5 linked regions of the Callithrix jacchus genome follow. The protein of the gene in region 2 interacts with the protein of the main gene of each other region in a pairwise test. Links are inferred from orthologs where the notes say so. Each region holds a gene or a part of one and is shown on either strand. Other genes may lie near its edges. The genes, in order: GABARAPL2, FUNDC1, TUFM, YES1 and EHHADH.

Region 1 (5,666 bases), on a different chromosome or scaffold from region 2:
AGGGGACAGTTGATAAGACTGTAGTCATTTTAATTGCTAGATTACTGTGGAGCCATCAGAGTAATCATAAGGTCTCCAGAAGCCTGCTTCATTTCCTTTGAGAAGAACCAGAGAATCAGAATTGAGGAAAATAAACTTAATGCCATAGGTCCTAGTCACTTACTTCCACTAAGCGACCACCTCTGGGAAGGAGAAAACACAGGGTCACCAAGGCTCTGCAGAAATTGCAGATGGTATAAAAGATTACTTCCCCAGTCACCTTAAGGAAAGCCCAGGGTAACTATGAATGCCCAAGGCTTCCTCCTCTCGTGAAGATAGCCCTGAGGCCTGGGAAGGAAGGTTGGAAGAGCCCCATGGATGACAAAATCACCTCAAGCAACACCACAGCTTCCAGAGCTACAGCTGCAGCAGACCAATGGTGTCCAGTGGGCAGGCCCTGGGCTATCTCCTCAGGTTGGACACTGGCCTTAGGGAAGGAGCTTCCATTTCTCCCCTGCCTTTCTACCAGACACCAGGAAGTGGAGGTGGTAGAGACTGGGAAACAGGTAATCAGACCAAAAAATAGCCAGAGCTTTCCACCTTTAACAGAAATAAAGTCTGGAATTTGGCACGGGCCTCTTAGGAAGTCTTCAAGGATTTTCAACAGGAACCTATCTGGGCAACATTGGGCTAGTTCCCAGGGCTTCTGAAAGCCTTCACTTTTAGAAGTATTACTTCTGGGGGTGGTAAATGAAACCTACTTTGGGTCACTAAGGTAAGATGTGGCCAGGAACTCACACTCAGGGGAGAGGTGAGGGCCAGAATCTGGATCAGAGCCTAGAACTACCCACTCAGTAACAGGAAAGGACTGACCAGGAGCTTAGACGGAGCCTGTCCATTTTCCTCATTCCAGAGGGGACTAAAGCTGGGCTGTCAAATACACAGAAAATGGAAATTCTAATGCCCCTGCCTACATTCGGGCTGCAAGTTACACTCCCAAAGACTGCTTCCAGGCAGCACCATAGTCTGACAGTCAAAGCAGGTGCTACCAAGGAAGGTTTAAGTCTGTAAAGAGACTTCAGAGCCCTTTACTGTGCTGCAGTCATTTTGTCAGACTTGAGGATCAGACAGCTATAGACTCTTACAATGGCAGAGAGCTGACGAAGTTTGGGAGCACGCAAACCGCTTGATTAACTGAGTAAGCCTCAGCAGAACCCACAGGTTCCCAGTGGAGGAGAGTGGCCAGACTGTCTTCAGGGAAGAAAACCTCATTTCAGGCATCAGTTCTACCTATGGCTTAAGCCTAAATAAGTCCTCAATGTTTTAAAAGATTCTTGGAGGTCTCAGGCTGAGTTTCATCCCTTTTTTAGAAGTCCAGGCCTTGTTCTATTTTCCGAATCTAAAATGCACCCTTATGTATTGCAGCCGTTATTTTCCTGGAGCCCCTGATGTCAGGGAGCACAAAATCCAGATTTCTAGTCAGAACCCCCAAGAGTTTTCAGACCTCCAAAGTTTTTGAGTTCTCTAAGCAGCCAACCAGATGTCTAACACCAGAGGACCCATCTAGTAAACACCTCTCACCTGGACTGTGGGACTGTCTTATCCACAAACAGGAAGATCGCCTTTTCAGAAGGAAGCTGGATCCTTTTCCTGATGATCCACATGAACTGAGCCACAGTGATATCAGATGGAACCAAGTACTTCCGTTTGTCAATGTCAACAATCTGAGAGCCTGAGACCTTTTCCACAATCACCTGGGAAAATAAAGAGAGGTCAGGACTGGGTTTCTAAAGCCAGGCTCTGGCCTCAAGGCTGAGGAGCTGAGGAACAGAGTGTGGGCAAGGAGGTGGGTGGGAAACTGCATAGCAGGAGAAAATATGTCTTTGGCTTAATAACCACATGCTCTGGAGGTTAAGAATTGATATAAATGGGTTATAGGGAAACGGTAAGTGCTTTTCTGTGGTCAGTTATGTAAGAAAAATGCAGCCCTTACTACTAAGCTTTTCCACATTTTATCTGGGCAGACCTAAGAATATGTGGGGATCCACATCCATAGCCCATTACTCCAGGACCCCAGAATGGATCCCCTTCACACTACAGGAAACACTACTGTGTTCCCAAGGAACACAGGAGACAAGAACAGATGGACTAATGGGAATGCCTGGAATTTCAGCCAGCCAAGAACCAAGCTCTTCATTTGGCCTGTTGCTCTTCTCTGAACAAGTTTCAAATCCGTCCCTCCTTCCCCCAACGGAATTATTCACAAGCAAAGAGCTACAATAACAGGCCTTAATGTCCATTAAAAATTAACAAGAATTACAAAACTATCTCCCCAAACATGGAAAAAATATATTTACTACTGACTAGGAAGAAAGCATAACAGAAAAGGGTTTTCAGCGGCTTCTCACATTGTTTTGGTCAGGCAGGGATGACAGGGTCAAGGTGAGGCAACGGAGCCAGAATTTGGGTAAAGATGGAGGCTCCAAGTAAAAGGTGAAGGTCCTGAGACTCAAGTACCACTTCCAAGACCAAAGTGACAGTCTCCCTCCACCACCGTTCCCAAAAGTGGCAGTGACCTGTTGCCCTGTCCTAGAACATCGTTCCTTACATAATTGGCCAGGGAGCCCCGAGGCTGCAGACAGCTCTCGCTGGCCTAGATCCGGAGATTCAGCACTGAGGCACCCTGAACAGCACCAGCCCGAGCCCCTCACGCCCCGGCCCTGGGCGGCCTCATCGCAGTCTGGCCCGTCCTCTACTACAACTGGGAATGGAACCTCAACTTGTCAACTGTTGAATGGCCTAGGGCCTATCACGGCTCCCAGATGACAGAGGTGACAGCGAGGTGAGGGGGCGGAGAGTCCAATCACTCACCGGAACCCGGTCAGGATATTTCGCTCGGATCTTCGCGGACTCCACGCATCTGTGTTCTGTGGCAGAAACAAACAGGGCTGACGGCCGCGCCTGCCCACAGGTCGGTTCCGGGCCCTCGGCCCTCCTCCTCCTGCGCCTTGCGCACAGCCCAGGCCCTCGTTCCGGCGTCCCCACGGCCGCGGTCCTGTCCCCTAGCTCCCAGGGGGGTCCGCGGAGAGTGACGCGGGGTCGAGGGACGGCTGCTCGTGGCACCGGAGCCTTGGCGGCTCGAGCCCGGAGCGCGGCATACGTCCTGCTTCACCCGGCCCAGGGCCGCCCGAGTGGGGGAGGGGGCCCACCTGCCGCCGCGGCCCCCCGCGGCCGGTCCGATGGCCAAGTGCTTACCCAAAGAGTGGTCCTCCTTGAACATCCACTTCATGGCGGCGGCGGGGAGGGGATGGAACCGGCTCTCGGAGCCGTGGAACTCGGCGTACCGACCACAACAACAACGGCGGCGGCGGTAGCAGCGACGGAGGCGACTACACGGCAGGCGGGACTTCCGGCTGCTGGAGCCTAGCAACCGGTCAGGGGCGGGGCTTCCGGCGCCACTGGCCAGGAAGCTATGCCAAGGGGCGGGGCCGCACGTAGTCACGGAGGGCTCCTTCTGGGGGCTACTAGGCTGCGGAGGCGGTGAAGTTGGTTACGGGGGCGTCTGTGAGCAATATCGGCGACCCCAGGAAGAAATGTTCGGGGAACTGGTGACAGGAGTGGGGTCTCGGGAGTGTTTGTGGCGGGAAGCGTCTGGCTGATAGTGTATGGCTCTGAGGGCTCTTTGGGGGTGTGGCTGATAGTTGAGGGCTCTTAGAGCGTTTATAGGGGAGGTCTGAATAGGGAATTGGTGACAAGAACGGTCTTTGGGAGTAAGAATGACTTAAGGGGAGTCTCTAGTGCTTGGCGATGACAAGGGAGCTGTTTTGGGCGTTGACAGTTTGGGGGTTATTGCTCGGAGTGGTGACAGGGTGGGGGCACAGTATGGGAGGGGTGGTGTTTGAGGACACTGTGTAGGAAGCAGCACTGAGGACAACCTGGACGTCCAGTATTAGGGACAGCGGTAATAGGTTGCCTTGGACCTAGAAATTGAATTTAAACAAATCCCATTTTCTTCCCTTATTCGTGAATCTATTTGAATAAACATTTACGAAATGCACATTCGAGGTAGGACGTGGTGGCTCCCGCCAGTAATCCCAACACTTTGGGAAGCCGAGGCAGGAGGATCCCCTGAGGTCAGGAGTTCGAGACCAGACTGGCCAACAGGGTAAAACCCCATTTCTACTAAAAATACAAAAATTAGCCAGGCATGGTGGCACACACCTGTAGTCCCACCTCCTTGGGAGGCTGTGGCTGGAGAATCGTTTGAACCCGGGAAGCGGAGGTTGCAGTGAGCCAAGATGGCCTGGGTGGGAACAAGACTCTGTCTCAAAAACAAACAGACAAACAAATGCACATTTGAAGAGTATAACATAACTGATCACAGACCCTTTAACCTTAACTGGCAGAGGAGTTAGAGGTGACAGTCAGGCTTGGAGAATTCCCCTGAGAGCTGGTCATGAGATGGGTTTCCTTGTTTGGCTGTGGGAGTGGTTTAGCAGTCACAGCCCAAGCTGTGTGTGTCACCTGCCCAGACATATGCCTTGAGGTTCTCCAGCCAGTGATGTAATGCCTTTCTTCCAAGCAGAGTCATCAAGGCAGTCTGGTCTAGGTCACCATCTGTTTATAAGCTGCTGAGCACGTAGCAAGAATATTCACTTAATTTGGGCACATGAACCCTGCCACATGCTTGTGATTCTGATGCACCTGTAAAGCCTGTATGTTTGAACATGCTAGTTCATCATTTCCTACACTGGAAATTCCCAATTGATGCTGTGGAATCTAGCTTCATTCTAAAAGTATTTTTGTTATTTTAAGACTGTGTGTCTGACCAATCAGAATAGGTTTTATGTTTGTTTGTTCCTTTGTCTTCGTTTTTGTTTTTTGAGGCAGGCCCTCGATTTGTTGCCCAGACTGGAGTGCAGTGGTGTCATCTCGACTCACTGCAACTCTGCCTCCCGGGTTCAAGCGATTCTCTCCTGCCTTAGCCTCCTGAGTAGCTGGGACTACAGGCATGCACGACCCCTCCCAGCTAGTTTTTGTATTTTTGGTAGAGATGGGGTTTTGCCAGGTTGGTCTCCAACTTTGTACCTTAAGTGATTTGCCTGCCTCGACCTCCCAAAGTCCCAGAGTACTGGGCGTGAGCCACTGCACCTGTTTGTTTGGTTTTTGTTCGGTTGGTTGGTTAGGTGGGTTTTGGGGTTTTTTGTTTGTTGGTTGGTTTTGTTTTTGTCTTTTTTGAGACGGAGTCTCCCTCTGTCACCCAGGCTAGAGTGCAGTGGCTTGATCTCAGCTCACTGCAACCTCTGCCTCCTGGGTTCAAACTATTCTCCTGCCTCAGCCTCCTGAGTAGCTGGGATTACAGGTATGTACCACCACACCCAACTAATGATTGTATTTTTGTTTTGTTTTTGAGACAGAGTTTCGCTCTTGTTGCCCAGGCTGGAGTGCAGTGGCGCTGTCTCGGCTCACCACAACCTCCACCTCCTAGGTTTAAGCAATTCTCCTGCCTCAGCCTCCCGAGTAGCTGGGATTACAGGCATGCGCCACCATGCCTGGCTATCTTTTATTTTTAGTAGAGATGGGGTTTCTCTATGTTGGTCAGGCTGGTCTGGACCTCCCAACCTCAGGTGATCCGCCTGCCCCGGCCTCCCAAAGTGCTGGGATTACAGGCGTGAGGCACGGCACCC
Region 2 (5,596 bases):
AAGACTTCTCCCTCTGAGCCTCCAAGAAAAACAAACACTATTGACATCCTGAGTTCAGACTTCTAGCCTCCAGAACAGTGAGAGAATTTCTGTTATTTTATTTATTTATTTTGAGATGGAGTTCGCTGTTGCCCAGGCTGGAGTGCGATCTTGGCTTACCACAACCTCTGCCTCCCGGGTTCAAACAATTCTCCTGCCCCAGCCTCCCGAGTAGCTGGGATTACAGGCAACTGCCACCACACCGGGCTAATTGTTGTATTTTTGGTAGAGACAGGGTTTTACAATGTTGCCCAGGCTGGTCTTGAACTCCTGACCTCAGGTAATCTACCCTAAATGTCTAAGATTTGCCTTAGCCTCCCAAAGTGCCAGGATTACAGACATGAGCCACCACTCCTGGCCTCCACAGCTCTATATACTTTATCTCCAAAATGTGATTTGACTGTCTTCTTTCCATTCTCAAGGTCATCATTACCTTGCTTCCAGACCATTCTAAGGGCCCTCTAACTGGTCTTGACACCTCCCATTTCTCCTAGCAACCATCCATCCTGATAATAGTTTTAATTTTTTTGTCATGGTCAAAAGCCTACAGCTATCCGCAGCTAAATAAAATCTCCTCAGCCTCCTATTCACGTCTTGAATTGGTCTAAATTGCTACCTGGTCAAGTTAATGCCTATTAACTGTTCCTCCTTAATAGACACCACAATATCACATCAATTTTACATCCTAAGAAAATTGCAAAAATTTACTACACTGAATAAGGTCATTGCAACAAATCACTTGTATTATTAGAGTTCTATTATACAGCTCCTGGACCAACACTGTGTGTGTGTGTGTGTGTGTGTGTGTGTGTGTGTGTGTGTCTGTGTCCTCGCTAGGTTTTACATCCACAATTTAATCAATCGGGATACAAAACTTAAAAAAAGACAAAAAAACAAAAATAAAAAAATCACACAAATTAAAAAAATTCCACATAACTATTTGCATAGCATTTACATTATTTACATTGCATTAGGTGTTATAAGTAATTAAGAGATGATTTAAAGTATACGAGAGTGTGTGTAGGTTATAAGCAAATACTATGCCATTTTATATCAGGGACTTGAGAATCCGCAGATTTTGGTAACCTACGCTGAGGGACAATTGTATTACTATAAAGAATGTGCCCCTCAATAGGGGAGTCAGCAACAAAGGCTCAGAAAAGGGAACAGAAAAAGCAGGCAGCAGGCACAATACCCCTTGGACTGTGCTCCACAAGCATGTGCATCCATTGCTTGATGGCATCAGTCACTAAAATGAACCTATTTCCTGCTGCTCTGTCTCTAGCCTTTCTGAGCAAACTTCTGCAAATGATGGGGCTTGTTCTACAAGGAGTTTGCTCTCCAAGGAGAAACCATGAAATGACTTGGTAATTCTATTTCTCAATTATTTTTTAGTCTGTTTTAAGACTAGGCTTTAGGCACTGACTGACATTAACCAATCACCTCTGGCACCAAATTGTGAGCTTATTTAAGCAGAGAGCCATAACCTGAATTACAGGGCTAGAGGAACTAATCAGCCTATGGAGAATTATCTCAATGACCAGGCCCTGACAGGCATCTCTTTTTATTGCGGGCTTTTTTCCCGTAGCACCATTAATAAGCACATATCATGAATAAATACCGCACCTCTGCACCACAGAATCTTCACAATCAGTATTTCTATCATAAAATGGCATTTGCAAAAAGGCATAGAGGAGCGTGTCATTATTCCAAAATGCATGTAAAACACAAATCAAAAAACTCGTTGTTATACTTATCAAGTGGAAACGTAAATATTTCCATTAAATCAATGTAAGATGAACTTAAATGCGAATCTAAGAAAAAATGCTTATGCCCAAGTTAAGCACCCTCACTAACTTCAAAATTTCTCTACAGTCAAGAACATTTTCAAAACGGTGAAATTTGTTTCTGCCCCTTGTTATCTAGCTAGTCTTTTCATAAGAACAGAATTAGAGTCACAGTAGCCATTGTGTTATCACATGGTCTGAAATGTTAACTGGTCAGGCTGATGCTTATTAACCACTTCTTAATGGACCCCACAATATTACAAAGTAAGCAATCAGATCTTTAATTTCAACACAGAACTAATGTTCTACAGCTCTTTTCCAAAGAGTTATCATAATCTGACCGAGCCCACAAAAGAAAAACCCAGAATTATCTGTATCATCACCAATAATTTGCGCAGAGCATTTTTACACTGCTCTCTACAACGCTGACAATACTAGAGGCCAGTTCTACCGTGGGAGTTTCTTAGGTTTTTTTCAGTAGTTAGCACTGAATGAAATGTAAAAATTTACATTTAATTAACTCATATATTTCTTCCTATCTACTATCACTGAATCAGATCCACGGCATTTGCTGAACATGAGAATGGGGAAAGCATATAAAGAATCAAAAGAAGGGTGAGGAGGGAGGAGAGAACAGTGGTGGGCATGGGGGAGGGGATCACCAAAACCCAACGGGGAGTCTGGGAATGTAGACTGCATCAATTTTAACTCAGAGAAAAGCCTCTTCTGGAATTAACAGTGTAGACCCACTGAATGTGCAGTGACTCTCACCCATGTTTGAAAGGACAGCAGTGTCAGGCCCCCAAATGAAATTTAATGAAAAAGACGTTGTTCTCACCAGCCAGTCACGCCACCCATTACAATCTGGGTAGCTACTGAGTATTTTTCTACCATAGGTCCCGAACTGTGGCCAAACACTCGATTCCACCACTGGTGTCTTCTTGCATACTCAGTTAAATCCAACACTTCGTAAGAGTCGTCATCGCTTTCATATTCTTTAAAATAGCAAAATGGAAAAAATAAATGTAGAGTCAATCAAAAGTCAGAAATCTTTTCAAAAATATGTTACAACTCATTCCTTTTGGCCTACAGCTAAAAATGCCCAGATGGAAACTACTGACTTTACTTAATTCCTGAGACCACCGCCTCAAGAGTAAAGGGCCCTGCAACAATGACCCCCATCTGCTTTCCCAAAGGCCCAGGGACTGGCCTGGGGTCACGAAGCCAGGGCCAACTCAGAATCACACAGTAGTGAGGGGTCACCCCCACTCCAAACCTTAGTAAGGTCAAGGTCAGTGCAGGGTCCATTTTCATCAGTGGGAGGAGTGGGGGTGGGGAGGGGTCCTCCTCTGAGAACTAGTCTGGAGCCCAGCGAAATCACTTCAGAGTCTAGACGTTTAAAAAAAGAAAAATAATACATTTGAAGATGGAGATGATGGGCCAGCGGTGAAGGTAAGGCAGGAGGCAGGTAGGGCTGTGCTGGGGGTGGGGGTGGTGGCTCTCCGCTTGAGTTCCGCAGAGAGGGGAGGAAAAAGTCTAACTCGAAGGTGGTGCTCAAAGGGGCTGCCTTAAAAATAAACAATAGAGCTCGAAGAATCCTAGGGCAGGGGAAGGAAGAGGTGCCATGGGAGCAAGGTCGAGAGCTGTGAGCCACGTCCCAGATACCACTTCAGGCCCTGGCCGCTCACCTTGGGGAGGGGGGTTCCGGGTCGCCATGATACCGCCGGCGGCCAATTCTGTAGTGGTCCCCGCCCGCCCTCCTCTCCCTGGCACTTTAAGGGCCGCTCTAGGCCAGGATGGGAGTCTATGGTCTCTTTTTTCCTCCCCTTCCTACTCCTGGCGCGTAGTCCCGTCTCCGCCCCCTTCCCTCAGCGCAGGACCTTCTGCCTTCTGCGCAGGCGCGAGACTCCGGAATGCGGGGGAGGGCTAGTCGGATCGTAGCCCCGCGAGAGCGTAGGGGATTTGTAGTCCGTTGTCTTCCGCAACTAGGGAGGGGGAAAGGGGAAATGGGAGGGATCGCCCCTCCTAGAATTTCCATAACTTGAATTTCAATATTTTGTTTTAAAGAGCCTATGACTGAAGGAATGGGGGGAAGGGAGGACGCCACATGGTGGTACAAAGGGAAAGCCAGCTGGGTATTGACAAAGACTCTCTCGACCAAACTTTAGTGAGGAAGCTCCTCTGAGCTCTTTTTGACTAGGTCTCCTCCTTGGGTCGTCTTTGACCTGCTTAGTCCATTTGTGGCGAGAATCCAGTTAAGTCAATTTAATGAGAACTCCCACACCCTTAATATCGAATCATCTTCAATATCCGATCAAATTCTTCAACCCCACCCTTGATATCTGATCACTTTGCCACCAGCAAAAATTATGTTAAATCGGTGGCTCACGTCTGTAATCCTAGCACTTTGGGAGGCCCCGGCGAGCGGAAAACCTGAGGTCGGGAGTTAGAAACCAGCCTGACCTACATGAAGAAACCCCATCTCTACTAAAAATACAAAATTAGCCAGGCGTGGAGGCGCATGCCTGTAATCCCAGCTACTCAGGAAGCTGAGGCAGGAGAATCGCTTGAACCCGGGAGACAGAGGTTGCAGTGAGCTGAGATCACACCATTGCTCTCCAGCCTGGGCAACAGAGCAAGACTCCACCTAAAAAAAAAAAGGCCTGGCGCGGTGGCTCACGCCTGTAATCCCAGCACTTTGGGAGGCCGAAGTTGGTGGATCACTTGAGGAGTTCTAGAGCAGCCTGGCCAACATGGTGAAACCCTGTCTCTACTAAAAATACCAAAACTTAGCCAAGTGTGGTGGAGCGTGCCTGTAATTCCAGCTACTCGGGAGGCTGAGACAGGAGAATCACTTGAACCTGGGAGGCAGTTAGCCAAGATCACACCATTGCACTCCAGCCTGGGCAACAAGAGGGAAACTCCATCTCAAAAAAAAAAAAAAAAGAATACCCCTACATTTCATGTCCGCTCTTGGTGGTAATCTTCCCCCCACTGATCCATTCACTCTGATCATTTACTATAAATTCCCTGCTGTGTTCAGAGTTGAGAACCATCACTCACCCCTATTGTGATAACTTTGTTTTTCAAGAAAGGGTATCGCTCTGTCACCAGGCTGAAGTGCAGTGGCGCAGTCATGGCTCACTGCCCCTCAAACTCCTGGGCCCAAGAGATCCGCCCACCTCAGCCTCCAGAGTAGCTGGGTCTCCATGCCATGCATCACCACTCCTGGCTAATTTTATTTTTTGTGGAGACTAGGTCTCCCTGTGTTGCCCAGGCTGGTCTTGAACCTCTGGGCTCAAGCAGTCTTCCTGCCTCTGCCTCCCAAAGTGCTGGGATTACAGACATGAGCCACCATGCCAGACTATATTGCAATAGTCTTGACACCTATTGCAATAGTCATGAACAAAGTCTTCCTTACCCTTTTAAGAAGTGTCTCATAATTGTTTTTAAATTTAGGCCCATCACTTGCACACTGTCAGAATAATTTTTTAAGAGTATTTTGAACACTCTACCAGAATTCACATGCTTGAGGAAACAGGCTTGTAAAAGATAAGAGAAACCCTGTTTCAAGCCATACTTTTCTAAGGGCGCAAGGGCTCACTAGGGGACCAATATTTTTCTAATGCCCTGCTGCTTGAGATTGGAATCTGTTTACCAGCTCTCTCTCTTGAGTTCCTGCCAGGAATCCAAAGGAGGTAAAGAAGGGCCTTGTAATTCCTAACCTGGCAAAAGGACATAATTTTTTTTTCTTTTTTCAAGACAGAGTC
Region 3 (5,439 bases), on a different chromosome or scaffold from region 2:
AGATCATTGGCTGCCGCAAGATTAGGTTGAGCTTCAGGTCCTCCCCGGGCATGGCAAGCTCCTAGAGTGGGAAGAGAAGGATCATGCATGGCCTCCAGAGTGCCTTCATTCCTTAACATTTTGTTGGCTACCTCAGAGGTTAAGAGTCATGGGAAAATGCAGCAGGGGAAGGTTCTGCCTGGGGACAGTTCACCCATCCCAGGCTGTCAGGCAGATGCAAACAGCATATTGAGACAGGAGAACATGAAAGAGACCAGTGATGAATGCTCCCAAGGTGTGGTCTCGAGAAAAAATGTCTAGGAAGTTGTGGTTATGCAGTTTCCTGGTCCCAGGACTTCCTAAGCTTTCATACAGTGAAATTCAGAAAGAAGACACCTAGGAAATCTTTCTGTGGGTAAACTGCTGGCAGAGCTAAGCTTTTAACCTGCTTCAGCTTACGGCATACTGGATGAGGACTCCCCACCTCTAAGTCCATGAGCCATGCCCCTTATGTTGGCTAGCAGCACAAGCAGCCCCTTTCCACCCAAGGAAATAAAGCCACTTGGATTGTCACAGTCTGTCTTTGGAACTAAGTGAAGCAAAGGTGATATAAAAAGTCCCCCCTCCACCCTACATTCCTCCCACCCACCATACCTTCCCTGGGGGCAGGATAACCCGACAGGCCATGTCCCACGTCATGGAGAACATGATAGGCATGTAGTGGGACACAAAGGGCTTGTGGCGGCCACCTTCCTCCTTGCTGAGGATGTAAACCTGGAGAAGAGAGCAATGAGGGTGAGCTGGGCTTGACTGGAATGCTGGGGACAGCTTGGCTCAGCCCTGCCCACCATCACCTGGAGCCCTCACCTGGGCCTCCACCTTGGGGCACGCCTGGATGGAACCCGGCTTGACCATGACCAGGCCCCGCCGTACATCCTCCCTCTTCAAGCCTCGGACCAGGGCCCCGAGGTTATCTCCGGCCTCGGCCCGCTCCAGGTTCTTGTGGAACATCTCAATGCCTAGAAGGGAAGGGGAAAAGGAAAAGGGAGAAGGGAAGCGAGTGTGAGGCAGAGGGAAGGCACAAGGGATCTGCCAGGGGTAAGGCCACCCTGCAGCCAGCCCCTGCTCCCCAGGCTGGCCTCCCGTACCTGTCACCACAGTGCGGATATTCTTGCTATGTCCCAGGAGCTCACAGTCATCTCCCTTCTTTAAAATGCCACGCTCTAGCGTACCTGTCACCACAGTGCCACGGCCTGGGAAGTAACAGGACAGGATATCAGGGACCCAGAGCTACGCTGCTGCTATAGAGAGTGTGTAGGAGCAGGCACAGTCCTCACCAGGGATGGAGAACACCGACTCTACGGGCATCAGGAAAGGCTTCTCCAGGTCCCGGGTGGGCACGGGGATGTAAGTGTCCACAGCATCCAGAAGCTTCTGCACAGACTTCAGGCCTAACTCAGGGTCCCGACCCTGTTGAGGGGAAGTGACAGGACTCTGAAATTCGTATTCCGCTCCTCTCAATTACCAAAAACCACTTCCCAGACACAGAGCAGAGCTCTGGTTGACCATCTAGCCTGACTCTCTGCAGCAGCCACTCTGCCTGACCCGGCCTTCACCTCAAGGGCACAGAGAGCAGAGCCTACGATGACTGGGGTCTCCTGTCCTTTATAGCCAAACTCAGTGAGCAGTTCCCGGATCTCCAGCTCCACCAGCTCCACCATCTCAGAGTCCTGGACAGCGTCAGCCTTGTTCACATACACCACCACATGCTCCACCCCAATCTGTAGATGGCAGAGAGACAGGGACAGTGTCTGGAGGGGCCCAACTACCCATTCTCCCCCTTTGCACCCCTACTCAGGGTTGGAGTACCTGTCTGGCCAGCAGTAAGTGCTCTCGAGTCTGGGGCATGGGGCCATCATTGGCTGCTACCACCAGGATGCAGCCATCAAGAGGTGCGGTGCCTGTGATCATATTCTGGGTAGGAGGAGAGGAAACAACCAGGTTCAACGAGTTCTTCAGTCCACATCCATGCAGCCAAGTGTAGCACTTAGAAATTGAGGCCCCCTTTCTTGGCCATCTCACCACCACCCATTCTGAGTGGCCATGCCCACAAACCTACCATCTTATATCCAAACACTGAATATCTTAACCCCCTCCCCACAAGCCTAAGATTTATCCTGAAATGAGGCAGCTTCTGGCCCTGTCTCCAGTGTCCCCTGCAACCCTCACCTTAACATAATCTGCATGACCCGGGCAGTCTGTGTGGGCGTAGTGGCGGGCGGCAGTGCTATACTCCACATGGGCCGCATTGATGGTGATACCCCGGGCTCGCTCCTCCGGGGCATTGTCAATCTCCTCGTACTTCTTGAACTTAGCCCCACCTCCCTCGGCTAGAACTAAAGGAGGAAGAGAATACACCTCTCAGCTAAAATTCCAGTGCTAGAAGCAGAGCTTAGACCACACCCCTGAACTCTCCCCACCTAAGACACAACCTCCTCCAATCTCTAACTCTTCCAGCAGAGAGAACTATGGGTCAGAAAGAAATGTTAAGAGAGCCTTAAGGGTCGGCCCTATGACTTCTTTAGAAGAGTACAGACTCTGCTTGCAGAGCATTCCCTACGGCTAGAGAGAAGCCGCTGGAGGATCACAAAGTTCTTCCTGATCAGGGGAAATCTGTCTCCTGCATCTCCCAATTCACCCGCCGCATAAGTTCGGGCTCTTGGGGCCACAGTAAACTCCTCCAGCAGTAAACTTGGGGGCCACAGTAAACTCCTCCAGCAGTAAACTTGGGGGCCACAGTAAACTCCTCCTCCACTCTGCTGGTCTCGCCTCCCTGGCTCGACGTTCCAGCAGTTGATAGGGCGTTGCTAGACGCGCCCACCCCACTCACTCTTCGTGATGGCTGCAGTCAGCGTTGTCTTGCCGTGGTCCACATGGCCAATGGTGCCCACATTCACGTGTGGCTTGTCGCGCACGTAAGTCTTCTTGGCCTCCAAGGCCAAGCTGCGGCACAAGAGGGACAATGCCGGGGCCTTCAGCGGCCGCAACAGACCCTGCAGCAGGAAAGTCGGGCTGGCGGCGAGACCTGCCGGGACCCAAGCTTGGAGTCAGGCAGGACGAGGCTCAGACCAAACCCAGCCACCTACCACGCCCCCAATGTGTTCCTGGGCCGCCATCACCCTCCCCGACCCCTCACCGCTGAAACGGGTCGTCGCACGCAGCAGGGTGGCGGCCGCCATTGTGGCCATACACGCGCCCCGGGAACCGGGGAACCGGGACAAGCAGCCGGAGCGCGCAGCGGATGAAGGGCGCTTGCGGCTAGAAGGCACTTCCGGCGGAAGTACAGGGCAGGAGGGCAAGTCCGGTCCCCTCTACCCGCCAGTGTCTATGGCCGTCTCCGCGGACTTCTGGCGCGCGGCTGAAGACGTCATGTAGGGGGCATGTGTCTCGGGGGCGAAGAATGAGGTAGAGGGTTTCCACTATTCGGGCCTCACGGGCTGATGGGCAACGTAGTTCTCTTTGGAGGCCGCGGGGGGCACTGGGGAGCGCCCCTAAAGCACCGACGCAGCGAAGGCTCATGGGCATGGTAGTTCCTGGGGCGGCGGGCTGTGGAAGCGCCCAGGGTGGGAGTCTGGCGGGCTAGGCCGGATCCGAGGGAGGGGCTTAGGCTACGGGAGGCAGCGGCGGCTCCCACTGCCTAGGAATCTCCTGAGACCGACAGAGAGAGACCACGAGTCCCCCGGAGTACGACTCGCTACGCGGGTCTTGGGAGACATCTGGCCACCTCTGCCGCAGCTGGAGGTAGGACCAGGTCCTGGACGCCTTTCGCGGGTGGGGTGAAGTGTGACCCCTCTCTCTGCTGACACTTTGTTTTCTTATCTGTAAAATTGGAATGGTAGTATCCACTTCATAGGGCGATTCTTTCATCTGGCCCTGAAAGGAGATGAACTGGGTAGGAATCACGGATGTGGTCCTGGGTGGTAGTCAGGGTGGGGCCCTGTGAGGTCAGGCAGCTTGCGGGGACCCTGTACTGCTTGACCTCACAGGGCCAGAGCCCACCAGACAGACAGCTTCGGTGCCCATCCTTATGGCCACTCAGCTGCCTAAGGAGGAGTTCCGTTGGGCGCCGCCCCACCCACCTAATTTTACAGATGACACCAAGGACGAGGAGCCAACTAGGGGAGCCTTTAAGGGCAGCCTGAGTCTCTTTTATTCCGTCTGTGGCCCCAGCACCTAACAGGGTGGAGCATGCAGTAAATATTGAATGAATGAGTGCAGGGGTAGTCAATGACCCTTGACTTTCACATCCATCATCTCATGGCAGCTTCCGCATGGCACTCTGAAGTGTTAATTGTGGCTGCTTAACCCTGATTTATGTTTCGGAACTCATCAGATCCTGAGACTCAGTGGACAGTGTTTGTTTCAAAGAGATTCCCTAATTCCTCCCCTGGAGATTATGATTCTGTGCACATACTGGGAAGGTATATAACCAACACCCTTCTAAAACGTTTGGCACGGTGGCTCATGCCTATAGTCCCAGCACTTTGGGAGGCTGAGGTGGGAGGATCGTTTGAAGTCAGGAGTTCAAGACCAGCCTGGGCAGATTAGGAGACACTCCACCCCTGCCCCCCGCATCGCTACAATCTTTTTTTTTTTTTAATTAACCAGGCATGCTAACAGTAGCATGTACCTGTAGCCCCCGCTACTCAGGAGGCTGAGGCAGAAGGATCTCCTGAGCTCAGGAGTTCAGGGCTACGGTGAGGTATGATTATGACAGTGCACCCCACTCTGAGTGACAGAGAATCAGACCGCATCTGTAAAAACATTTTTTTGATGAAAACTCAGAGGAGTTTGGGAAACTCTGAACTAGAGCTTTATAATGTGCAGGCATTCATATTGTTTCACAATCAGTGCTCTGAGTGCTACCCTGGTTGGTAGGATATATTATTTCCCCCATTTTGCAGGTGTGAAAACTGATGGTCAGGAGTCTATCTTAAGACATTAATGGCCACTAGCAACATGTGTTTTTTGGGAGTGGTATTTGAATTAATGGTTTCTATTTTGTGGTGCTATATTTATTTTAAAGTGCTTTAGCTTGAAAAAAAACTGGCATAATAATCAAGTTTTAAAAAATAAATCCATTTAAAAGAATACTATTTGGTAAAGTATGGGTGCACTTGGCGCAGTGGCTCATGCCTATAATCCCAAGACTTTGGGAGGTCAAGGTGGGTGGATCACTGGAGGCCAGGAGTTCAAGACCAGCTTGGCCAAAATTGTAAAACCCCATCTCTACTAAAAATACAAAATTAGCTGGGTGTGGTGCACACCTGTAGTCACAGCTACTCAGGAGGCTGAGGCAGGAGAATCGCTTGAACCCGGGAGGTGGAGGTTGCAGTGAGCCAAAACCATGCCATTGCACTCCAGCCTGGGTGACAGAGTGAGATTCTGTCTTAAAAATAA
Region 4 (5,428 bases), on a different chromosome or scaffold from region 2:
AGTTCAATAAACATTTTGATTACCTTCTACTGGTTATTTACAAAATATAAGCCAAAGCAGATTTTAATTTTGTAAAACCTGTGTCTGTCAAAAAATTAACTTATTAAAAAAAAGCAAGTAGAAATTTAGAAGATTTTTCCAAAAATTCTCTAATTACTGTACATTTGGGAGTATTTGACATTTTGTTTCTGTTTTTTATTTTGTTATACTTGTTGAGACAGAGTCTCACTCTGTTGACCAGGCTGCAGCGCAGTGGCACTACTATTTCAGCTCACTGCAACCTCTGTCTCCCAGGTTTGAGCCGTTCTCGTGCCTCAGCCTCCCAGGTAGCTGGGATTACAAGGGGGCACCACCACACCCAGAAAGTTTTTGTACTTTTGTGTTTTTGTTTTTGTTTTGAGACAGAGTGTTGCTCTGTCACCCAGGCCGGAGTACACACTGCAACCTCCTCCGTCTCCTGGGTTCAAGCAATTCTCCTGCCTCAGCCTCCCAAGTAGCTGGGAATACAGGCGCTCACCACCACGTTCGGCTAATTTTTGGATTTTTGTATTATTATTATTTTTTTTTTGAGATGGAGTTTCCCTCTGCAGCCCAGGCTGGAGTGCAATGGCGCAATCTTGGCTCACTGCAACCTCCGCCTCCTGGGTCTCGGTTCAAGCAATTCTACCTCAGCCTCCCAAGTAGCCGGGATTACAGGCACAAGCCACCAAGCCCAGCTAATTTTTGTATGTTTTAGTAGAGACGGAGTTTCACCATGTTGGCCAGTCTGGTCTTGAACTCCTGACCTCGTGATCCGCCCGCCTTGGCCTCCCACAGTGCTGGGATTACAGGTGTGAGCCACCATGCCCAGCCTAACGTTTTCAAAGTAGTTACATATACTAGTTGGTATATGACAACTATGATTTAATAAATTTAATCCTATTGGCAGAGGATAGCCTAGGTGGTGTTCTAAAGTTAGTCACCAAATATATTCTTAAACAAAGCACCTTATTTGTTTTTTTTTTAGTTTTATTATCCAAGTTTGGGTGACACCAGAGTTTAGCATCACTTAAATTTTTTTTTGAATTAGTTTTTTTTCTTACTACAATGCTAATAGAGTAAGTGATGCCTACACTGATTTTGTAAAGAAAAACTACCCATAGTAATAAATTATTTACTGCCTAACATAATGCAAATTTCAACTTTGAATAAGTCTTACACCATGGGTTGGTAGTATTTCACTTATACAGGGTTACTTCTTTCCTTTTAGCACATTCATTCTTTTATCATTACATACCGTGGAGGAATTTTACTCGCATAGACATTTTTCAGCTTGTGAATTTCCCGAACACACACACACACACACACACACACACACACACACAGAGCCCATGTATTATTATACTTTGACCATAAGACAAATTCCACCTATGCCAAGAAGACAGGTCAAAGCTGTATTTTCACTTTCAGATGAACAGAAAGGAATCAATTTTGTGGTTTATGAAGTCAGCAAAACCTAACTGCAAAATTAAAGCTATTATAACATTACGGTGGTTACAGCAGAGTACATATTTTAAGAGCCCTTTTATCTTTTATCCTGGAAACAGGGATATAAACTGTTTTGTTTTCAGATCAAAGGCAATTGTCTTTTTCAAATGTAGAGCCCTCTGAATAGTCAACCAGCATTTAAAATCTCCACTGACTTTTAGCTAGTCCAAAAACTAAAATACAATTTAACTTCCTTTTCTTACATGTCAACTGTAGCAGGGGTCTTATATTTATAAAGAAACAAAGTGCTCGCTTCGGCAGCACATATACTAAAATTGGAACGATACAGAGAAGATTAGCATGGCCCCTGAGCAAGGATGACACGCAAATTTGTGAAGCGTTCCATATTTTTTTAATTTAAAAAAATAAAAAGAAAAAAACCATATATATGACTTGCTAAAGTAAAACTTTCTTAATGTACAATATATGAAAATCATGATGCAAACAAGATCCTTGGCTAATACAAGACACTCCTTTATTACCTGTCCATTCAAAATGCTTCCTGTCCACTGTGTGCCAAGCACTGTGATAGTTATCAGATTTACCACGCACTTTTCCTTAAATGCAGTCACGTGTATAGATTTAGTAATATTTTCCTTAGGCATAAAGACACTACAATCATATTATATATATATGTGAAATCAACTATGTGAAAACACACACCCGTAGAACGAATGTACATAAACGATATGGACATAAAATTGTGCTTCCACCAAAGACTTTTCATTATTTCCTTTAATAATTTATAAATTATTAGACTGTATGTTATTCCAAGCCTACATCAATTAATTATGCAGAAAATAATTCAACCAAATCCGAACTGTTAAGTCTTACTAGAAAACAGCACTAAAGTCCCTACACCAGACTTATTTTCAAAGAGCTTCCTAAAACAACTCTGCCCCATGCCCAAAAAAGTGAAAGCTGGAAGCAATTAAGAAGAAAAACACACTTTAAAACAAAATTTTCTTTAACACATGTGGACAGGGCACCGAACGCAATGGGAGGCGGTGTGGCAAGATTCTGTAGAAGTGGACGCTGAATAGTAAATTTCACAACCCCCAATCCAAAACAAAGGAAAACTTTAAACATGTTGCGGTTTTCAATCAAACCAAGTAAAGCCAGAGGCTCACCCACTCGCCCCACACACCCGCTCCTCTCCCCGCACAGCTGCTACCGCTGTTAGCCGACATACGGAACCCCAGCCTTTAGGACCGAAAGGGGCCGCTTCCCTCGCCCCTACTTCGGCCGGGCGGGCAAAAATAAACCTCGCCCCACGTCGCGGGGCGGTCCACACGACCCCAAAGACAAGGGGTGTGGAGTGTCCCCACGCCCCTGGGACCTCAGGTCGAACTTGGGCGGGACCCGGCAGGACTGGACGGGGCAGGGACCGAGTCAGGGGTCGAGCAGGTAGCGCGTGGAAGGAGACCAGCCCGCCGGGCGAGCCGGGGGAGGGGAGAAGTTTCTTCCTAACTTCCCGACTCTGGCCCGCGGGGGCGGAGAACCGCGGCGGCAGTGGCGGCTCCCGGCGCCGGGGCCTAGCGCTGTCCCTGCCGGGGTGGACCCCTCCGCCCGCAGGGCCCCACCGGGTCCTTACCTGTTTTATGGTCGCGCTCTCATGAGTCGCTGCTGCCGCAGCTCGGGGTGGCGGGCGGGGGCGGCGGACGGAGGCGAGGCCCGCGGGCCCTCTCCCTCCTCCACCTCCTCGTCCCGGGGCGTCCGGCGGCAGCAACGACGGCAGTGCCGGCCCGGGACGCGCTACTTCAGGAGGAGGGAGTTCCCGGGCTCCCCACCCGCCGGCCTCACTCTCCACCTCCTCCCCTCCTGGCCCCGCCCCCTCACTCCTCACGGGGGCGGGCGCGGGGCGGGGGCTGCGGCTACCTGCGCGCGCCGCAGCCGGCTCGCCGGAACTCGGGCCTCGGTGGCCCGGCTCCAGAGTTCCCAGCTTTCTGGCGCCTACGCCCCCCTCGCGTCCGCTCCACGGACTCCGGGCCGCTTTGCTGTGGTCAGATTAGGCAGCCAGTCCGTGTCATTTTTCCCGACCCAACATGGCGGCGGGGTCCGGGGCGGATATTCCGGGCGGTGCAGACTGAGGGGGCGTGAGGAGGAGGAGGCGCTTCCCCGCCGGGAGAGCAGGCCCGCGGCGCCCCTGCCCACCCGGGAACCCACCGACGCTCGGCTGCCACGGGGATTGAATGGGGCGCCCCTCTGCCTTTCTCTTTTCCTTGGCCCGGCTCTGCCTAGTACCCAGGGCTTTGGGGCTTGTTTTTGTGGGGAAGGACGGGGTTGAGTTTATTTGGTTGACTATTTGCTTCTCTGCACTAAGCTTCCGCACTCTTTGTCGTTAGTAGTAAAATCTCAGCCCAACCGCGTGAACCGGAGCGTTACTCACACCCTCATCACCATCCTGATCGCTGTCCAAAAAACGTTCATGTCTGGCCTCTTTCCGAGGCTGGGACCCTGTCCCTGCCCCCAGGAGCTTCCTGTTGACTGTAGGTCGAACCAGCCTTGCCGGGAGGGTAACCAAAGCTGAGTTGTGTTTGGCGACTATCCCAGTAATGGTGGCTTTGGCTTATGTTGGGACAGCATATTTCTATATGTTGCTGGCAGTAGACCAGTGAGGGAAGTGAGATAAGTATGGTCACCCTGCTCGACAATCGTGGGAACAGCGACCCCGAAACTGGAGGAGCAGCAGCTGGAATCCTATCCATCTGAATCCACACACCTTTCCTATGAGCCTTGTAGCCAATTGCGGAAGAAGGGGGAGGACCAGGAAGGATGGGGTGGGGGCGTAAAGATGAGGGACGGTTAATCAGGGTCCTCATGGAGCCTTGAGGCTCTTCTGCTGCAGTCACTTCTGCCTTGTCAAACTTTTCGAGTAACTTCCTCTCTGTATTTCCTCTTTGGTGGGTTATCACAATTATTGTGTGACTGTTGGTTTCCTTTGCGGTTTTTAGTGAAATTCAGAATCATCTTAAACAGATACGAAATAGTGCAATCTTATGTGTCAGTGTTCCGGTATTCTAGGAACTTAAGGAAATGCGTATAAGGGTTTGAAAACTTTTTCTTCAGCTCACTAAATGAACGAAAGGTAGGCACAGGCATTCAGAGGAACAAAAAGATACACATAATGTAGAACGATGCTGTATTTTCTTTTTTCTTTTTTTTTTTTTTTTTTTGAGATTGAGTCTCACTCTGTCGCCCAGGCAGGAGTGCAGTGGTGCGATCTCGGCTCACTGCAACCTCCGCCTCCTGGGTTCAAGTGATTCTCCTGCCTCAGCCTCCTTAATAGCTGCCATTACAGGCATGTTGCACCACGCCCAGCTTATATATCTATATATAGATAGTTTTTTTTGTTTTGTTTTTTTTTTAAGAGATGGAGTCTTGCTCTGACGCCTAGGCTGGAGTGCAGTGGCGCAATCTCGCAATCTCGGCTCACTGCAATTTCTGCCTCCCGGGTTCAGGTGATTCTCTTACCTCAGCCTCCCAAGTAGCTGGGAGTACAGGCATGAGCCACCACGCCCAGCTAATTTTCATATTTTTAGTAGAGACGGGGTTTCACCATGTTGGCCAGTTTGGTCTCGATCTCTCGACCTCGTGATCCGCCTGCCTCAACCCCACAAAGTGCTGAGATTACAGGCGTGAGCCACTGTGCCCGGCCTAATTTTGGTATGTTTAGCAGAGACGGGGTTTCACCACGTTGGTCAGGCTAGTCTCGAACTCCTGACCTCGTGATCCCCCTGCCTTGGCCTCCCAAAGTGCTGGGATTATGGTAGTGAGCCACCGTGCCCAGCCTGCTGTATTTTCTTTAGCTAATAAAACTTCATTTGGGTCAGGCCTGTGGCTCACACCTATAATTCCAGCACTTTGGGAGGCTGAGGCAGGCAGATCACCAGAGGTTGGG
Region 5 (5,707 bases), on a different chromosome or scaffold from region 2:
TTACTAGATTCAAGCTGACAGAGTCATAGTAAGGGAAAGGCCAGAGAAGTTAGAAAATTATTTTCTCCTGTTAATACTGTCAGGCATGAAGAGAGTCTGGAGTATAGACAGTGCTTCATGACCAAAGCTCTTCAACTTCTTTGACTATAGAATTTCTTTCTTTTCATAGACAGTTTTTTTTTTCTAAACCAAAGGTCATCAAATCAATTTTGTGGCTTGTGTCCAGGATTTTTTTAAAGAAAAGGAAGAGAAAATAGAATATATCCACTGGGTGCAGTGGTTCATGCCTGTAATCCCAGCACTTTGGGAGCCTGAGGCAGGAGGATCATGAGATCAGGAGACTGAACTATCCTGGCCAACATGGTGAAACCCCATCTCTACTAAAATTAAAAAAAAAAAAAAACACTGGGTGTGGTGGTGCGTGCCTTTAGTCTCAGCTACTTGGGAGGCTGAGGCAAGAGAATTGCTTGAAAACCTGAAGGCGGCGGTTGCAGTGAGCTGAGATTGCCCCACTGCACTCCAGCCTGGGTAAAAGAGTGAAACTCTGTCTCAAAAAAAAAAAACAAAACAATTAGCTGGGCATGGTGGTGGGCACCTGTAATCCCAGCTACTCAGGAGGCTGAGGCAGGAGAATCGCTTGAACCCAGGAGGTGGAGGTTGCAGCATGCCAAGACTGCATCACTGCACTCCAGCCTGGCGACAGAGCAAGACTCTATCTCAAAAAAAAAAAAAAAAGAAAGAGAAAAGAAAATAGAATATATCAAACAATATACCATGTAAGGATAGGTTTTGTTTTAGGAAACTTTGTTTTCTGTTACGCGTTTGTATGTAAGTGTGTCTTGAATTGCTATGTAAAAACATAAGCTTAAAGCAAAAGTGTGAAAGCCACTGTCCTGGGAGACAGCCTATTAATCAGGCATGTCCTACATGTATAAAGAGGGCTGGTGTTTATCTGAATGGAAGCAAACATGGCTGGCTAAACTAGCAATGAAGGATTTAAACTATTTTTTCAGGGGGAAAAATTTATATATGTATATACATGTTTGTGTGTTTGTGTGTGTGTATGTGTGTATACTCAAGTAAGAATCTCTCAATGAGCTGGGAAGAGATGACTTCCCATATAGAATTAGAAATAGGAAGGAGAAAGGAAGCAAGGGAGGAAGGAAAGAAAAGTGAAATAAAAAAATTGAGGAATCTGTTAAACTTGAGGAACTGCAAGGATGTACATTTCCACTTTAAAAAAAAGTTCAAAAAACAGATGAAAAAGGGCAGAGAAGTCCTTATTTCCAAATGGAGAAAATCTTCCTGATGAAACTGAAGTGGAGCCTGGGTAGCAAGGCCTGTTGGTAAGGGCTTGAATAGGTCTTCTGACTAATACGAATGATAGCTGACATCCATTAAATGCCAGTTTACAATTTCCAGCTGATTTAAACTTTATAACTTTATGAGGTAGACACTAACATTTCTCCTGCAAAAAGGGATGGGGGTGGCACAGGTGGTGGCATGGGTGGGCAGGGAGAACAGGTTAAATTCCAGAAGCATTTAAAACAGTTGCCAGAAAATATGCCTAGTCATGGGTGTTAGAGGATGGAACTTTCCCCCTAAGGTCCTAACATCTAGCAATTCTAATCAGTATACAGACCAGTCCAAAATGGACATGTAATCATATTACTTACATTTTTCTTTGTTAAAATCAACATAACAGATATTTTGCTTTTTATTCTGGGAATGCCAAGTTAGTAGACATGTCATCCTTATGTGATTTTAGTGCTGCATTTTTTTGGCATATTACTAAATGCAATAAATCATACCGAAATAAAAATTCTAATGATAAATCTGATGACAGTAAGATTTTTAAATTCTATTAAAATCAGCAGATCTTCTCATTTCAATCTTTTTGCTCCAACAGCACATAAGAATTTTGACCAAAGACATTTCTCTCTATGCCATATATATTCTTGGTAAATTATAATTTCCACTAATCCTATTCCCTGTAGATAGGTAATTCTTTTTTCAAGGCTGATGTATAACTACTTTTTTAAAGAGATGCAGAAGGACCAAATAAATTCATTACTATTCAAAACGACAACACTGATCTCACTTTTTTTTTTGAGGCGGAGTCTCACTTTTGTCGCCCACGCTAGAGTGCATTAGCGCAGGATCTCTGCTCACTGCAACCTCTGCTTCCTGGGTTCAAGCTATTCTCCTGCTTCAGCCTATAGTCCCAGCCCCAAGTAGCTGGGACCATAGGCATGCACCGCCACATCCAGCTAATTTTTGTATCTTTAGTGAAGATGATGTTTCACCATGTTGGCCAGGCTGGTCTCGGACTACTGACCTTAGGTGATCCACCCGCCTCAGCCTCCCAAAGTGCAAGGATTACAGGCATGAGCCACCATGCCAGGCTGATCTCACTTTTTAAAGTAATGTTTTAAGTGCAGTACACACGGCAAGTACTCCCCAGTGAGAAAAAGAAGACAAGGTGCAGTTTTTCAGAAACTGCTGGTACACAGGCTTAGTTGGATGTGAGTCTTCCTCGGAAGCACCAGTCTTGAGGTTTAAACAAATCAGGAGAAATAATTTTGCGTTTGTGAGTCAGGGCACAATTCTGCTTTAATCACTACCTTGGCATTAGTGGGACTTCATTTTTTTTTTTTAATGTTAAAACATTTTATTGCCCAATTCCTAAAGCTTTTAGCCAAACATGGTAAGGGCAGCCTGGACTCAAAGTTGGGGAGTGAGGCTGGATCAAAGTCCAAAATGCAACTAAGTTAAGACCTTTGCATTAGAGACGCCAAAGCTGCAAGTAAGCAGAAGGGTTCCCAGGACGGACAGGGCAACGCCAGCTCCCTAAGTTAGCATGTGTCTCAGCCTCTGTTTCCTTACCAGGAAAATGGGGACGAGAGTTCTCTGCAAAGATTAACCAAGCTAATCTAGGAGAAGGAAAGAAAGAGAGAGAGAGAGAAAGGAGAGAAAGAGGGAGGGAAGGAAGGAGAGAGAGAAAGAAAGAAGAGAGGGAGTGAAGGAAAGAAGGAAGGAAGGAAGCAAGGAGGGAAGGAGGGAGGGAAGGAAGGAAGGGGAGAGAGAGAGAGATGAGAGAAAGAGGGAGGGAAGGAGGGAAAGAAGGAAGGAAAGAGAAAGTGAGAGAGGGAGCGAGGGAAGGAAGGAGGGAGGGAGGCGGGGAGGAAAGGAGGGAAGTAAGGAGAGAGAGAAAGAAAGGAGAGAGGGAGGGAGGGAAGGAAGGAAGGAGGGAAAGCAGGCAGGCTCCTGGCATATACCAGTTGCTCAACTGTCAGTGTCTTTCTCCGTTTAAACCAGCCGGGGACAGTCAAAGCCTCCAGAGCCGCGGGCGGATAAGGCCCCCACGGTCCCAGGGCTGGAGGCGACGGAGCCGGTTACCTGATCACGTTGACCGGCGGGTTTCGGAAGCGGATCAGCGCCAAGGCGTTGTGCCGCGTATACTCGGCCATGTTTCCTCTGTCACCGAGGGTACCTCTGCCTCTCGCCTTCAGGCGAAGCCACTTTTCCGGGCGCGCCAGCAGCCCCGAGGGGAGGGACGCGGGCTTAGCCAATGCGAGCCGGGGCACCGCCTCCTGCCGCGCCTCTTCCCACCCAGGTCCTCCTCTCCCGAGACTCCACCCCGCGCTCCACAGACGCTTGTGCTTTCTCTTTGTTGACTCCCACGCTGCTCCTGCTACAAAGTACCGCAAGGAGAATGATGGAAAACAGGTGTCACTGCCGGCAAGTCGAAGTTTGCAATCCCTGGCCCACAGGAGCCGGCTACTGAGGACAAGTTCTGAGTTCACTGAGTCGGGCAAGCTGTCCGCATCGCAGTATTCATCTTCATGATCCTTCTGAACAGGGACAGATACCTGGGGCCCTGACAGTTATGTGATACTGATACTCATCGGAACACATAAAATACCCATTGTTTATTTCACCTAAATGAGTAGGGTACTGATGAAACAGACTTCGCAAAAATTCTAACAGTGAGAAAATTATGACAGTGGGAGAGATCTGATTTAACCAACCCCTATCTTGCCTTTAGCTACCCTTAATTATTCCTGAGCTTGGGCTAAGTTAACTTTGGGAGACACTTAGTTTATAGTTTAAATGATAATGGCCCTTTCCCAAAACTCAACTGCCTTTGTAAAGCTAAATGAGAGACCACCAGGCTAGGAGGATAGCAGAGCCTGACTTCTGTTTGTTAAGGTGTAGACATAGACCATTGCCAGCCATTATTCCGGAGGCCACCAGATAGACAACTTCCCCATTTACTCCTGCAGATAACATTACTATTGTAGAACCTAAGTTTGGCCCTTTGAGATATCGTTTCAGATTTTTTGCATGCCTGACACTGATGGCTCCTCCTGGACCAGTCAACTGCTCCTGTGGCCCTGCCCACACACAAGTCAGTACAAGAGGCAGCTTCCTTTGACCCCCTAGGAGTTCGTCTCCAACCCAGCCAGTCAGCACTTCCCATAACCTAGCTCCTGCCCACCAAACTGCCTTTGAAAAACCCCTAAGCTACTAGCCTTGGATGAGACTGATTTGAGTAATAACTCCATCTCCCACATGGCCTGGCCAGCCTCACATCAATTAAACTCTTTCTTCACTGCAATGCCGAGGTCTCCTCGAATTGATTTTATTTGTGAAGCAGGCAGGAAGAACCTATCCAGTGATCACACTAACATCAACCAAATACTTACATAATGTCGTGTACTGGAGAAGGGTCTGGACTGCAAGTTGGCCAGGTTTTTGACATTTTGAACAAAGAACTGGATGGAACACACAAACAAAGCCAGGAAAGAACAAAGCAACAGAAGCAGAGATTTACTGAAAATGAAAAGACACTTTACAGGGTGGGAGTGGGCCTGAGAAAGGGGCTCAAGGGCCCTTGTTACAGAATTTTCTGGGGTTTCAATACCCTCTAGGGGTTTCCCATTGGTTACTGGGTGTATGCCCTACGTAAATGAAGAGGATGAAGTAAAATTACAAAGTCATTTACTCAGTGTACATCCTATGTGAGTGAAGAGGATATTTCCTGTCATAGCTGAAGTGTTTCCATTTGATTTAGTTCTAAGAAGTTCCTTAGGTTCCCTGGTTCCAAGCCCTGTTCTCCTTTCTCAACCTCACTTTTATTTGTCTTACAATAACACACAACTAGTGAAACTGTTACTGGTGGAGGGTGTCCAGGTTCTCGCCATTTTGACCAAAATCCCCTACAATTTTGGAACACATATTAATATCATTCACTAAAATATAAGCTGAAGATGATTACATATTATTTTTTATTTTGATAATGCTTCCCATGTAACTAAACATGTCAAATAATCCTGTTTACCCCTTTTTTGGATAGTTCACGAGCCTGCTGTAGCATCTCAAAGTTAGAGGTCAGAAAAGACAATTTTTGAGGCTGAAATTTGATTTTAGCAAGCCTGTTAAATGTTTATAAAAATTTACATTCTCATGCCTTTTTATAATCTTTTACCATTCATTCAGCCAGTTTGCACAGAAAGGGGCCAGAAGTCCAACTGGTAAGAAATTCTTATCCGATTGCTGGTATATCAGGTTTCTGAGTTCTCTCTCTGTGAGCAGCCCTAGTGACCCTGCTCAACTGTATGCAAATAAACACATTGCCATGAATTAAGAATATTCACAAATAATTTCTAAAATTTGAAGAAATTAGGCAGAGAGAGAGAGAGAG

Evidence for each region.
Region 1: the proteins of FUNDC1 (region 2) and GABARAPL2 interact in binary tests that used the Homo sapiens proteins (3 or more experiments, as listed by UniProt). The two-hybrid records come from large-scale screens. The link is inferred for Callithrix jacchus from reciprocal best matches to the Homo sapiens genes FUNDC1 and GABARAPL2.
Region 3: the proteins of FUNDC1 (region 2) and TUFM interact in binary tests that used the Homo sapiens proteins (3 or more experiments, as listed by UniProt). The two-hybrid records come from large-scale screens. The link is inferred for Callithrix jacchus from reciprocal best matches to the Homo sapiens genes FUNDC1 and TUFM.
Region 4: the proteins of FUNDC1 (region 2) and YES1 interact in binary tests that used the Homo sapiens proteins (3 or more experiments, as listed by UniProt). The two-hybrid records come from large-scale screens. The link is inferred for Callithrix jacchus from reciprocal best matches to the Homo sapiens genes FUNDC1 and YES1.
Region 5: the proteins of FUNDC1 (region 2) and EHHADH interact in binary tests that used the Homo sapiens proteins (3 or more experiments, as listed by UniProt). The two-hybrid records come from large-scale screens. The link is inferred for Callithrix jacchus from reciprocal best matches to the Homo sapiens genes FUNDC1 and EHHADH.

Annotation. Positions count from the first base shown.
Region 1 is NC_133521.1:32,970,159-32,975,824, reverse strand, and holds the start of GABARAPL2 (gamma-aminobutyric acid receptor-associated protein-like 2), read right to left. Parts: upstream 3,378-5,666; 5' UTR 3,269-3,377; coding exon 3,235-3,268; intron 2,907-3,234; coding exon 2,851-2,906; intron 1,734-2,850; coding exon 1,561-1,733; intron 1-1,560. UniProt on the Homo sapiens protein: Ubiquitin-like modifier involved in intra-Golgi traffic. Modulates intra-Golgi transport through coupling between NSF activity and SNAREs activation. It first stimulates the ATPase activity of NSF which in turn stimulates the association with GOSR1.
Region 2 is NC_133524.1:45,510,454-45,516,049, forward strand, and holds the start of FUNDC1 (FUN14 domain-containing protein 1), read right to left. Parts: upstream 3,615-5,596; 5' UTR 3,543-3,614; coding exon 3,515-3,542; intron 2,822-3,514; coding exon 2,665-2,821; intron 1-2,664. UniProt on the Homo sapiens protein: Integral mitochondrial outer-membrane protein that mediates the formation of mitochondria-associated endoplasmic reticulum membranes (MAMs).
Region 3 is NC_133513.1:29,105,149-29,110,587, reverse strand, and holds the start of TUFM (elongation factor Tu, mitochondrial), read right to left. Parts: upstream 3,307-5,439; 5' UTR 3,228-3,306; coding exon 3,176-3,227; intron 3,065-3,175; coding exon 2,870-3,064; intron 2,376-2,869; coding exon 2,209-2,375; intron 1,954-2,208; coding exon 1,849-1,953; intron 1,761-1,848; coding exon 1,596-1,760; intron 1,450-1,595; coding exon 1,317-1,449; intron 1,233-1,316; coding exon 1,128-1,232; intron 999-1,127; coding exon 847-998; intron 754-846; coding exon 634-753; intron 62-633; coding exon 1-61. UniProt on the Homo sapiens protein: GTP hydrolase that promotes the GTP-dependent binding of aminoacyl-tRNA to the A-site of ribosomes during protein biosynthesis. Also plays a role in the regulation of autophagy and innate immunity.
Region 4 is NC_133514.1:63,183,315-63,188,742, reverse strand, and holds the start of YES1 (tyrosine-protein kinase Yes), read right to left. Parts: upstream 3,290-5,428; 5' UTR 3,122-3,289; intron 1,880-3,121; exon of another isoform or gene 1,773-1,879; intron 1-1,772. UniProt on the Homo sapiens protein: Non-receptor protein tyrosine kinase that is involved in the regulation of cell growth and survival, apoptosis, cell-cell adhesion, cytoskeleton remodeling, and differentiation.
Region 5 is NC_133516.1:14,235,214-14,240,920, forward strand, and holds the start of EHHADH (peroxisomal bifunctional enzyme), read right to left. Parts: upstream 3,498-5,707; 5' UTR 3,471-3,497; coding exon 3,400-3,470; intron 1-3,399. UniProt on the Homo sapiens protein: Peroxisomal trifunctional enzyme possessing 2-enoyl-CoA hydratase, 3-hydroxyacyl-CoA dehydrogenase, and delta 3, delta 2-enoyl-CoA isomerase activities. Catalyzes two of the four reactions of the long chain fatty acids peroxisomal beta-oxidation pathway.